Linked DNA regions of Drosophila melanogaster. The protein of the gene in region 1 purifies or fractionates together with the protein of each later gene. This does not show direct contact. Each region holds a gene or a part of one and is shown on either strand. Other genes may lie near its edges.

Region 1 (5,155 bases):
CCGCACTGACGACCATTCCGGGCGGTGAGGCTCGCACAATTGCTTGCGGTGGCAAGGTGGTGTGCATGGCATTGCCCCGTTGGGCGGCTGCAAAAGCGAACATAGAATCTATGGTCTATGGACCAGGAGAGCCCAGACTTACCTGGCACATAGGGTTTTGGCTGGTGGTACGCATTGTTGTGTGAGCGAAAATAGACAGTCTCCTCGTTGTGGCGATAGTGTGATTGTTGCTGAAACTTTTGTCTGTAAGAAACATGGGAGTTTAGCTAGACTCGAGGCTCGTAGAGGACATTGAACTGCAACCCACCTGTAGTTGCCGCCGGAGCGCTGGTTCCCATTGCCATTATTGCTGCCGGATCCAGCTGCGCCGCCATTTCCGTTTCCGCCTCCACCACCGCCTCCTCCTCCTGCACCACTAGCTGCCGCATTCGACTGCTGTTGCAGCTGGCGAAGCGTCAGCTTCTTGGCCGCCTCCGGATCCTCCATGAGTTCGCGGTACTGCTCTTGGCGGATGTCATCGTGCTTGTCCGGCGTGAGGTACCGCCGAATCTCGGCCAGGGCATACGCCACCCGAGCGTACGCCTCGGCGGGCGGAGCAATGGTGGACACCTCGACGTGCAGAGGAAGATTCAGGTGGGCGTACTTCGCGTCCGCGGAGTTGCGCAGCTCCTCCTCACGTGCGCGATCCTTCATTGAGAAGCGACCAAGTATGACGATCTTGCACTGCGTCTCCTCCTGCAGGCGACGCAGTGAGTTGCCCTTGGGCCCCAGTAGCTTGCCCACATAGTTGAACTTCTTGTCCTTGATGGGCACGTGCACTTTTTGGGACAGCTTGATGGTGCGCTGCTGGTAGACATCGGCGTACTGGTCTCTCGTGGGAATGCGTCCGTTTAGCTGCACACGCTCCAGAGCTGCAAAAACAGAGGGAAATCAAAGTAATTACCATGAAGTGCCCCTGACAAATCAATTTACCTTCGTCAATTAGCTTCACCGCCAGGGGGAAGTGGTTTTCCATGCGCGATCGCTCCGTCATGAGCTCCTGCATGTACTTCTGGACCGCCGGCGCCGGCTGGGCCTTCTCGCCGTCTGCGTTGGCGTTGTGTTCGTTCTCATGCTCCCCGTTGCTCGTCCCGCCGCTGACGCCGGTGGGCACCACTCCTGTCCCGGCCCCCGCAGTTCCCGCTGCTGATCCACCGCCGACTCCCGTCGCAGTGGAAGCCACCGCAGAGGCCACCGCGGATGACCCTGGCACGCGCAGTCCGTTCTCCGCCATTTGTCGTCCTGCCTTCGGGATCGCTGTCGCTCTATCGTCCTGCTAAGTCGCCGAGTCTCGGATTTTCCGTGCGCAGATTGCGGGCGATCGCTTTTGCTGTCGATTCGGTATGATTGCTAACTTAGCACACTTCAGCCTTCCCAATGGCCCTAATTTTTCTCTCTTTTTCCAAGTGTGTATTTTATTCGGACATTTACTATGTCAGCGGCTCGGTCCGGCAACTCCGGTCTCTCGGGCTGTCTCTCGTGCTTCTGCAGCGTGCTGTTCGCTGCCAATCGACGGTGCTGTTAAGGGCGCATAGTTGTTATCGGCTTGCAGACACTATCTAACGCTATATATTAACATAGATGCGTCGTCAGGTGCATGGCAATAATTTATAATATGCACTTAGTGATTTTTAAATTACAAATATAATTTAAATGCTCTCTTTGTTATGGGAAAGTTTTTAATAAAATTGATAAGTCATAAACTACTAATGCACATGATGGCGGGTTGTTATCGGCAGTAACCGATAATACGCTATCGAATCGGTGATGCCGATTTACCTATCGATGTCCTACCACATACATATTTTTTCAGCCAACTAATTCTGCAATAGTAGAATTTTGTATTCAAGAGTAGGAGTTTTAAAATTCACGAATCCTCCAGGCCAGAAATCCTACAAAACGCAATGCCGCGCGACTACGACAGAGACTACAACGAGGACGCCGCCGACTACAAGCGGAAGCGACGCGACGAGGAGCCAGCGGCTACCGGTGCTCCAGAGACCCCTGAGGCGGATGGCGGCGGACACACCACCAGCCACGCCGCCCTGCGGGACACGCCCCAGCTGAATGAGAAGACCAACGCGTATCTGCAGGAGTGCCTGCTGGAAAAGAAGACGCTCGAGAAGAAGCACATCATCACCAAGCGCTTACTTGACGACGGTGAGTTAGGCGCTGCGACATGTAAGCTATAGTGGATCTAATTGCAATTTTTCATGGCCCCGCAGAGGTGGAGAAGATCTTGGTCAGCGGACGCATACCAAAGCCCGAGATATATGCCAACGTGTACAGCGAAAAGCCCATCCGCGTGGCCCAGAAAGTCTTGTTCCCCATCAAGGAGTACCCCAAGTTCAATTTCGTTGGCAAGATCCTGGGGCCCAAGGGCAACACACTGCGGCAGCTGCAGGAAGAGACTATGTGCAAAATGGTGGTTATGGGGCGCAACTCGATGCGCGACCACGGTAAGGAGGAGGAGCTTCGCAGCTCCGGAAATCCAAAGTACGCCCATCTCAGCCGCGATTTGCACGTGGAGATATCCACGGTGGCCCCTCCAGCGGAGGCCTATCACAGGATCAGCTATGCGCTAGGCGAGATCCGCAAGTTTATGATACCCGACGCCAACGACGACATTCGGTTGGAGCAACTACGCGAGATGGATGGCAAGGAGCGCATGTACAAGAAGTCTCACCACTATTCCAAATCCTATGGCGATCATGGCGCCTACAGTTCCCGGTAGGCTTGTCAATTTTCGTTGAATTTTAATTGGTTACTAAGGAATTCCTTTCGTCACAGCACCCCGCCCCCTGCTTCTTCAAAGCCCAAAGTCTATTCGATTCTGGAGAAGGCTCGATATGTGATGGACGATCCCAACTATGGGATCGTAAAGACGCACAGGTTAGCTAAGTTCAATCGCGTTAATGATGCCTTTAGAAGTTAAATTCTTATGCTTTCAATAGCGTGCATCTGTGTTATCAACCATTGTTAGAAAACCCTCCTTTAATCCCTTACTTTTTCAACAGATCACGGGACCACGAGCTATATGACCACCATGGAGAATATGATCGCTATGCCACACCGCCGCCCCAAACATCAAAGCACTCGACCCACCACGCCCAGTATGACAGTAGCTCCTACGAGCGCGACTATCGGCGTGAGTATCACCCCCACTCGTCCTCCTCTTCCTACGCGGCGGCCTATCCAGGTAAGATACCTAGATTTCTAGACCAATAATCTCTTCCCCTCAGCAGGCATGTAAAAATAAACAAAATGAAGAAAAGAAAAAGAATACGACAAATAGCAATGTAAACGTTTAAACTTAACTCGCGCAAATCAAAACAAAAAAAAAACTCGAAAACAAAACAAAATCTATCCAACTAAGCGCCGATAAATTGAAAACGCAGAAAAAAACAGAAACCAAAAAAGAAAAAGAAACAAGGCCGCGTACCAAAATTATTAAAACGGCAACCCATCCCATTTTAACAAGATTTTAAATGCACTATGCCTGAACAGAGGCCAAATCAACTAAACCGAACAGCAACCAGTAAATCATCTTCATTAATTGGACGACTACTAACATACTCACAAGAAGCCAGAGCCAAAATATTAAAACAATCGATCAAACAATCAAATTACTGAAATTCACACTTTGAAAACAAAACCATAAAACTTCATGGCAAGAAACCCAAAAATATTTGAACATGCTTAAACTATAAAATCCAAGCTGAAAGGTTTGTGGAACAACTTTTTTTGAAACGTGATGAAACGAAATGCATTTTACTCAAAACAATAACGTTTCGTAGGGTGTAGTGCATTCAAAACCGGTTAAACAATATATTTTTCTTTTTTTTACAATGTATATATGCTAAGCAAAAGAAAAACCAAAAACCAAAAAACAGCACCACAGAGACAGAACAAGAAACAATTTAAAGTCTAAACAACAAATAAAATTCTTTTCAAAATAGCAAAACCAAGCAACGGTCGTTCATCATCGTCATATCGACCAACCACCTCGGGCTCGGGATCACATTCATCTGCTCACTACGAAACTGGATCCCGATCTCGTGAAAGCGTGCGATATCGCTCGGCTCCATATCCGAAAATACGTTAACCCATCGATTTTCCAAAACCCCAAGAAACCAACCTCAACAACAACTACAACAACAACAACAACCACAACTAAACAATGTTAAGCGTAAAGATTAAAATATATTCCAACGAAATATCAAAATGTTTGAAGTCAACAATCCAACTATTCACACCTATTAAATATAATATATAAACGAAAATCAAATAAAAAACGTAAATTTTTATTGCAACTGTTGTCCGATATTCAAATTGTGTTTAAAATTAAAACAAGAAACCAATAATGCAACAAATTTTATCCTCAAAAAGATTGTAAAAACAAAAGACATACTTCAATCAACCTAATACTAGTTAAAGCCAATACGAGAAGAGAACTAAACACAAGCGAAAACCCCCCCAAAACAATTAATTTATCAAAGCATAATTTTAGACTAAGCTTGAAAATATTGTTTCATAAGATAATGGAGATAAAACCAACATAAAAAGCAAAATATAAACTACAAATGTATGTGCCCAACGACAAAGTAAGTATCGCCTGCGGACAGAGTATGATTAACAAACAACAAACCACACTATTCAGCAGTTAAATAAATTAACCAAATGCCGGCTTCGTTACAAATTCCGAATAGCAAAGAGTATTGTGAAACGTTAAACGTTGTCGTTTATAATTATGATTTCTTTTTTGTTTTTTTTTCTTTGCGAATCAACAATTGTTTTATAACTTAAATATTATTTTTAACATAAAACCATAAGGACGTTTAGAACTGAATTTGTTTGCCGCTGAATATCCCTAAATAAAGTATAAAAGTATAATCGACAAATCCAGTTTCATTTGTGGGGGTGTTCAAAAGTTCATGGCTCCATCAAGGAATAGCAAACTGTCCACAGCAGAAATGGCCATATCCACGTCCCTCTTTTGTATGGTTTTCTTTTTGGACTGCGCCGTGTAGGTATATGATTCCCGTGACAACGAGGCTATGAATAGTTCCACTGCCTTCGCCACTATGAACACGGCCTCATTGTTGGCCATATGCAG
Region 2 (6,457 bases), on another chromosome or scaffold:
CTTCTGCCAACAAGCGAATCTATAAAATTAAGTGGATTAATCATTTTTATGGCAAATTAAGCTTATCCGACTCACCTATCTCATCTAGAAATATAAGACAGGGTGCATTTTTTCGCGCTGTGTCAAAGATTCGCGATATAAATCTTTCCGCGCAACCGACGTAGGGAGAGTACACCTCCGCCGCCGACGTAGCAATGAAGGTCATGTCAGCTTCCTTGGCCAGGCACTTGGCTACGGTGGTCTTGGCACATCCTGGAGGTCCATAGAGCAGCACTCCTTTGGGCAAACTTAGTCCGAATCGAGCAAAAGCGGCACTTTGTCTTATACCCGCTAGAACGGAGACTTGCAAGGTACGTTTCAGTGCTTCCATGCCTCCGATAACCTCAAACCCAGCCGTCATCTTCGAGACCCGCACATCTGTGGATCGAGATGCACTCGGTTGAGTTTGTGACAGGGATTTGAGGAAAATGTGCTCTATGTCGAAGTCGTCTTTTGTTAAGAGTTGCTGTTGAACGCGGCGCAGGAGTAGTGTTAAATCCGCTATCACATATCCCTGAGTGTTTCTCGCTATATGCTCGAGTAAAGTCTGTGAGATATTCAGCTCGTGTACTTCGCAGAGATGCTCTACGAGTTGTCTGCGCTGCCCTTCGCTGGGCATATTAATGGTCACCTCTCGGACGAACCGCCTGCGCGCATGTTCATGCAAGGAGTCCGGGACACCAGAAGTTGCCAGACATATGATGCCTCGAGGAAGTGCGTCTAGCAGTTTGTAGAGCTCAGCTGAAATTCGTAGGCTATTGCTAGAGTTTTTTGCATCTGCGACAGCCGTTGAGGGGCAGAGCAGCTCCAGATCCTCAATGAGGATTACAATTGGCACTATAAATATAAAACTAATTAATATTTCAAACGTAAAACAAACACTGTGAAAATTACATAATGGACGTAGTTTCTCCTTGAAAGTCTGAGCAGCCTGAAAGATCCTCCTCAACTCCTCTTCGGTTTCGCCGGGATATGAGCGCAGCACCTGGCTGGCTGTAATGTAAAAACAGTTGCAGCTATGACGACGCAGGAACTCACTGAGTAGACCACTTTTTCCACAGTCCACCGGACCCACAACCAATGCTGTAGTAGGAAATCTATGCGAAAAGCTGATTTTAGAGGTTTCCAGGAGCTTCTCCAACTGCTCCATGGGTCGCTCGAAGCTGTGTGGCAAATACTTGAAGATAAAATCTAAAGAAAAGGGCATTCCCAGGCGTATGTCCGCCAGGAGTAGCTCAGCATCGTGGGCTATTTCAAAACACTCGTCATCAGCAACTCCTGGAGCATCGAATATCTCCACACTGGCAATGCCCAGCTGCACAAGGCGTCTGTGCTGCACGGAGCATCCTTTGGTAAGCTTCAGGTGGCGCAGGAAGATTCGCACATCGTCCTTCAGATCCTCCAGGGAAACCGGAGGTCGCTGAAGGAGCTCCTGGGTGACTGTAATCACGCATGAAATCCTCTTCACGCAGGGAACTAATTTAAGTGGCTCCAGAAGCACCAACCGCTGATTGGTGGGGGAGAACCGCGTCAAGGAGGTTACAATTCCATCAAGGAAGCAACAAGTTTCACTGCCTGCACGCGGAGTTACCCAACAAACTGCGTAGCTGCCATCGCAAAGGTGACAACGGTACCATCCAGTTCCAGTAGAGTTCTCCCACGCGGGTATATAACATCTCTGTGGCTCTAGATCGCTGTCGTCCAGCAAGGAAAGCGGAAAAGTCGGGAAATCCGACTGATTGTGGTGCATTTTGTTTACCTCGCTTCGTTAGGAACGATAACATAACCGATTGCAGTGCATTTTCAGCTATTTCTAGCTACCTTTTTCAGCTGCATCCGCCTATCGATAGTGGTCCGATAGTCGCGGCCTGCAGACATATAGCCGCACTCTTCTGACGCCATCGCCAATTCGTCGCCGCTGTGACGCAGAATTTGTGTGTAAGCATTGTAAAATTGGCGTAATTTCGCGATATTAAAGGGATATATTGCGTTAAAAGTGAACAAAAAGTGGCGCTAGACCGGTGTCCACACAATTAATGCCAAGAGCAGCCCGTGAGTTTGGGAATACCTGTATTTCCCTGACCTTTTCTTACCTTGCCGATCGATCGGCTTTTTTCTCTATATATTTTTCTTGGTTTGCGTGTGTGCGTGTGCGTGGGTGCTCCATTCATCTGGTACTCCGATTTCCGATTTCGGAGCAGGTAAACAAACGCTGCCGATGCGCGAGATGGCGGACTTGGATGCAGTGCACCTGGGCCTCGACGAGAACGAGGCGGACATTGCCGAGGAGCTGCAAGACTTTGAGTTCAACACAAGGAGTGAGGCTTCCGAATCGAATGGTGGAGACTCATCCGACTCGGAGCCGAGCATCAGCTCCGTCAGCACTGCCACATCTTCCCTGGCGGGCAGTAGCAAGCGGAAAACCAAGAAGCCTGCCAAGCAAAGCCCTCAACCCGCTGTCGAGACCAAATCCTCCAAATCTTCCGCCAAGAACAAAGCCAAACGGGAACCCACTCCCGAGGAGCTAAATGGTGGGAAGAAAAAGAAGCGCACGGATAGCGGGACGAAGAAAACAACCTCATCTGAGGCGTCGGATAAGGTCAAATCCAAATCCCCGGATACCGAGGATCGACAGCCGTCCGCCAAGAAGTCGCGCACCAAGATACCCTCCAATGCCAACGATTCTGCTGGCCACAAGAGCGATCTCAGCGAGGCTGAGGACGAGAAACCAAGCCTTCCAACTTTGGAGTCCGACAGCGAGTCCTCTGACTCGGATTCGGGCACTCAGCACAAGAGAAACGGAGGAAATGGTGGCGGCAACGGCCGGGGCAAACCCAGTTCCAAGAGCTCCACGCCGGAAAAAGATTCTGTCGGTGGCGGTACGCACTCACATTCGCAGAAGGGCTACGACTACATGACCAAGCTGAACTACCTATTCCGAGACACACGGTTCTTCCTCATCAAGTCGAACAATAGCGACAACGTCCAGCTGTCTAAGAACAAGAGTGTGTGGGCCACGCTGCCGCAGAACGACGCCAATCTTAACCAGGCTTTCAAGGAGGCCAGAAACGTCCTGCTCATTTTCTCGGTCAACGAGAGTGGTAGGTTCAAGGAGTAAACAATGTTTCTCATTTCTTATACTTTCTTAGTTTCTTAAGAATAAGATACATACAATGTCTATGTCTTCAAAACCTCTATTATAATCCGATTTTGCTTTTAGGTAAATTTGCAGGATTCGCCCGGATGGCAGCCCCCTCACGGCGGGACATTCCTCAGGTGGCCTGGGTATTGCCGCCTAGTATTTCGCCCAAGGCACTGGGCGGCGTCATCGAGCTTGACTGGATCTGCCGCAAGGAATTGTCTTTCAACGCCACCCTGCACCTGCACAACACCTGGAACGAGGGCAAGCCGGTGAAGATCGGTCGCGATGGCCAGGAGATTGAGCCCAAGATTGGCGGCGAGCTGTGTCGTCTCTTTCCCGAGGATGAACAAATCGAACTCACTCCCATACTCAAGAAATCCAAGGAGACGGCTCGAGTTATGCGAGAAAAAGGTATACACGTGATCTACAAGCCGCCCAGGAGTCTATCCTCGCGTGGCCATGGAGGGGGAGGTCGTGGCGGAGGCAGAGGATCAAATCACGACCACCTGGGCCCGATGCGGCACAAGAGGAGCTACCACGGAGCACCACACCATCGGCCGTACCGTCACCATCATGGCATGGGCCTTCCGCCGGGCGGTGGCTTTAAAAGAAGCGGTTCCCCGTACCGCCAGATGGGAGGTGCAGCAGGAGCGCCACCCGGCGGACCGGGCGACATGGCCATGCCGTCATGGGAACGCTACATGTCCTCGGCGGCAGCTGCTGAAGCATACGTGGCGGACTACATGCGCAACATGCACGGCCAACTTCCGCCGTTGCCCTTCGTTCCTCCGTTCGCCCAGCTGCCGATTCCAGGAGCTGGAGCGGGAGCAGCAGGTGCCCTTCCACCGGGAGCAGCAGCTGCCATGTACGAGCAGCTGCCGCCACCGGTGCGGTACTACGATGGACCCGGTGCCCCGCCTCTACCGGATTATCCGCCTCCCCAGCGACCACCACCACCGGGCTTCGACAAGGCGCCGAGCTACGAGGAGTTTGCTGCCTGGAAGAATGCTGGCCTACCCACAGTGCCACCGCCTGGCTTCCCCGTCTACGGCGGAGCAGCCAATGGCGGTAGCAATGGAGCTGGCGGGTTAGCTGCTGCCCAGGCGGCGGCTGCGGGCGGTGGCATGGGAGCCGGTGGAGGATCCGGTGGCGGTATGGGTGGACCCGGCGGCTATCGGAATCGGGACGGCAACAACGGCTCCGCGGGCGGTCGTCGACGGGAGTACGGAAATCGCAGCGGTGGCGGCGGATCTTCGCGGGATTCGCGACCGTTTCGCGAGCGTGGCGGCGGCGGCGGCCAGCGAAGCTATCGGGACAACAGGCGCTAGGCCGCATCGAGGTTTAAAACGAGATCGTGCTCCTGGCCTCGCTAGAATCGGAAAGTGTAATCCTAATCCTCTCGCGTGTGAAAATCTAAAGAGAAATATTGAATGCGTTACGGTATAAGCAAAAAGTTAATATGATAAAACCGGCTATCGTCTAAAGTCGATACAACTCTCTTTCCCCTTTCTCTCTGTCCCGCTCACCAAACACCCCCACCACCCACACTAAGATTAAAAACAAACTTACGACTTAAGCAAATTTCAATACAGCAGAGATCTTAATGCTAATTAAATATTTTAAACCACAAAAATACAAAATGAAAGAGAGAAAATGTGAACTTTATTTACCTCCCAAAGCGAAAAGTAGCGAGAGAAAGCGAGAGAAAGAGACTTTAAAGAGACGCCCAACAACAACAACCACAACCAACAACAACACCATGAACGAACTTAAGTTAACATGAGCAGTGATCAATCAGTGATGTGTGTATCGTGTGTGCCAAACCCCACAAAGCCCCCTTCTCCATCCACCACCCCAAAAGTTCCAAAAACGAGAGTTGGACTTAGCAAAAGCAAACCGAAAATCAAAGGGGCACTGTGCCCCCCAAGACTTTCAAAGACCTGAGCGGAGCCTAGCTCCAAATGGGGGCTATGAGTTATAATCACTGCTACCGAATTTCAAGGACGAGGGTCGCCTTCAGTCGCTTCGATCCAATCAAAGCTTCCTTATACGTAGTATAAAACTAATGCAATCATATTTAACACCTATGTATATGTCTTGCCGACAGAAGACCATCTTTCCCCGAAACAGACACACATCCGCCTACATTTTGGACCGGAGTGATGCGCTCCGGGTCCCTTTGGCTCAATAGCAATACGAACCGTAGCAATCCGAAGTGTTTGGCCCACCAGTTGGGCACGCGTCAATCCCCCCATCGATTCCACTCAGTGACTGCCACATTTTCACGCTTCACCAAAGCTCAGACCGTCGACAAACACGAAAATACATTCCTGGACAGACCTAGGGGTTTGCTCTTTTTTCTTTGCAGGATCTGGATTCAACAAAGAAGGAAAAATCTACGGAGTTTGGAACCTCATTTATTGCACGAAGAAACTTAGAGAGAAAGACTGATGCCTAATAAAGACTCAAGCTGATTGCAAAAACAATATAAAGTTGTACCTTATTGCGGTGTCATCGTAAAACCAAGATGCTTAAAAGGGATTAGGCCCACTTAAATTACTGCGAAAAATTTTCTATTTATTTATTTACAAATTTCTCACATGACTTCCAGATAAACTAATTAACTTTGTGTGTCAAGGTTGCTTTTCCGGCAGAAAAGTCAATTTGCAAGTGATTTAGGTTTTTTTAATGACTATCTTTGCAATTGAATTGGGTACTATTAGATATTGAATATACCAATATTGAGGTATAATACAAATACAACAACATTTGACCTCGGCAACTATCAGAAGTACATGTAGGTCGGGAACATTAGGGAATTCCTGCGCGATAAGTTACTAATTATGCTAAGCTATCGCAGAACCTCATTAAGACTTGAGCTGCAGTGTTTTGCAGGTACTTATCATATTTACAGTATTAATGTATGCAGTATTATATTAATTCTAAATAAGAAAGTCAGGAGAAGGATATTCAAAACTGAAGAATTAATGTACATTAGTTTTGTTTATTAGATTTTCAATATTGCAGCATAGAATATGTGTAAGTAGTGGAGAGCTAAACGCGCTTTTCAGAACGTTCATGCTAATTGCTCATGGATTTAGCATCCTTCGCACCAGCACTTCAGACTGGGGCTGCAGTGGCCACTGGAGCGTCCCTCCTCCTTGCACACACGACGACAGGTCTCGTTGTCCCAGACGGCACAGGGACCCTTGTATCTTCCGGACAGGCAGTCGGCATCGGCCTCGTTGGCTCCCAGGACCACCAGCATCAGGACAG

The links.
Region 2: the proteins of qkr58E-1 (region 1) and Ythdc1 purify together in Drosophila melanogaster (affinity purification with western blotting, with the first as the bait; one study listed by BioGRID). This does not show direct contact.

The regions. Positions count from the first base shown.
Region 1 is NT_033778.4:22,412,184-22,417,338, reverse strand, and holds qkr58E-1 (quaking related 58E-1), read left to right. Parts: upstream 1-1,820; 5' UTR 1,821-1,943; coding exon 1,944-2,199; intron 2,200-2,264; coding exon 2,265-2,769; intron 2,770-2,829; coding exon 2,830-2,931; intron 2,932-3,056; coding exon 3,057-3,238; coding exon of another isoform or gene 3,239-3,267; exon of another isoform or gene 3,268-3,998; coding exon 3,999-4,144; 3' UTR 4,145-4,422; downstream 4,423-5,155. Other genes in the region: qkr58E-2 (quaking related 58E-2), read right to left, coding at 1-87, 143-243, 308-911, 973-1,273; PolE4 (DNA polymerase epsilon subunit 4), read right to left, coding at 4,964-5,155.
Region 2 is NT_037436.4:3,369,653-3,376,109, reverse strand, and holds Ythdc1 (YTH domain containing 1), read left to right. Parts: upstream 1-1,939; 5' UTR 1,940-2,075; coding exon 2,076-2,091; intron 2,092-2,240; coding exon 2,241-3,140; intron 3,141-3,259; coding exon 3,260-4,509; 3' UTR 4,510-5,659; downstream 5,660-6,457. Other genes in the region: CG12010 (uncharacterized protein), read right to left, coding at 1-19, 76-876, 934-1,789; Drs (drosomycin), read right to left, coding at 6,279-6,457. UniProt on the Drosophila melanogaster protein: Regulator of alternative splicing that specifically recognizes and binds N6-methyladenosine (m6A)-containing RNAs. Acts by acting as a reader of m6A methylation.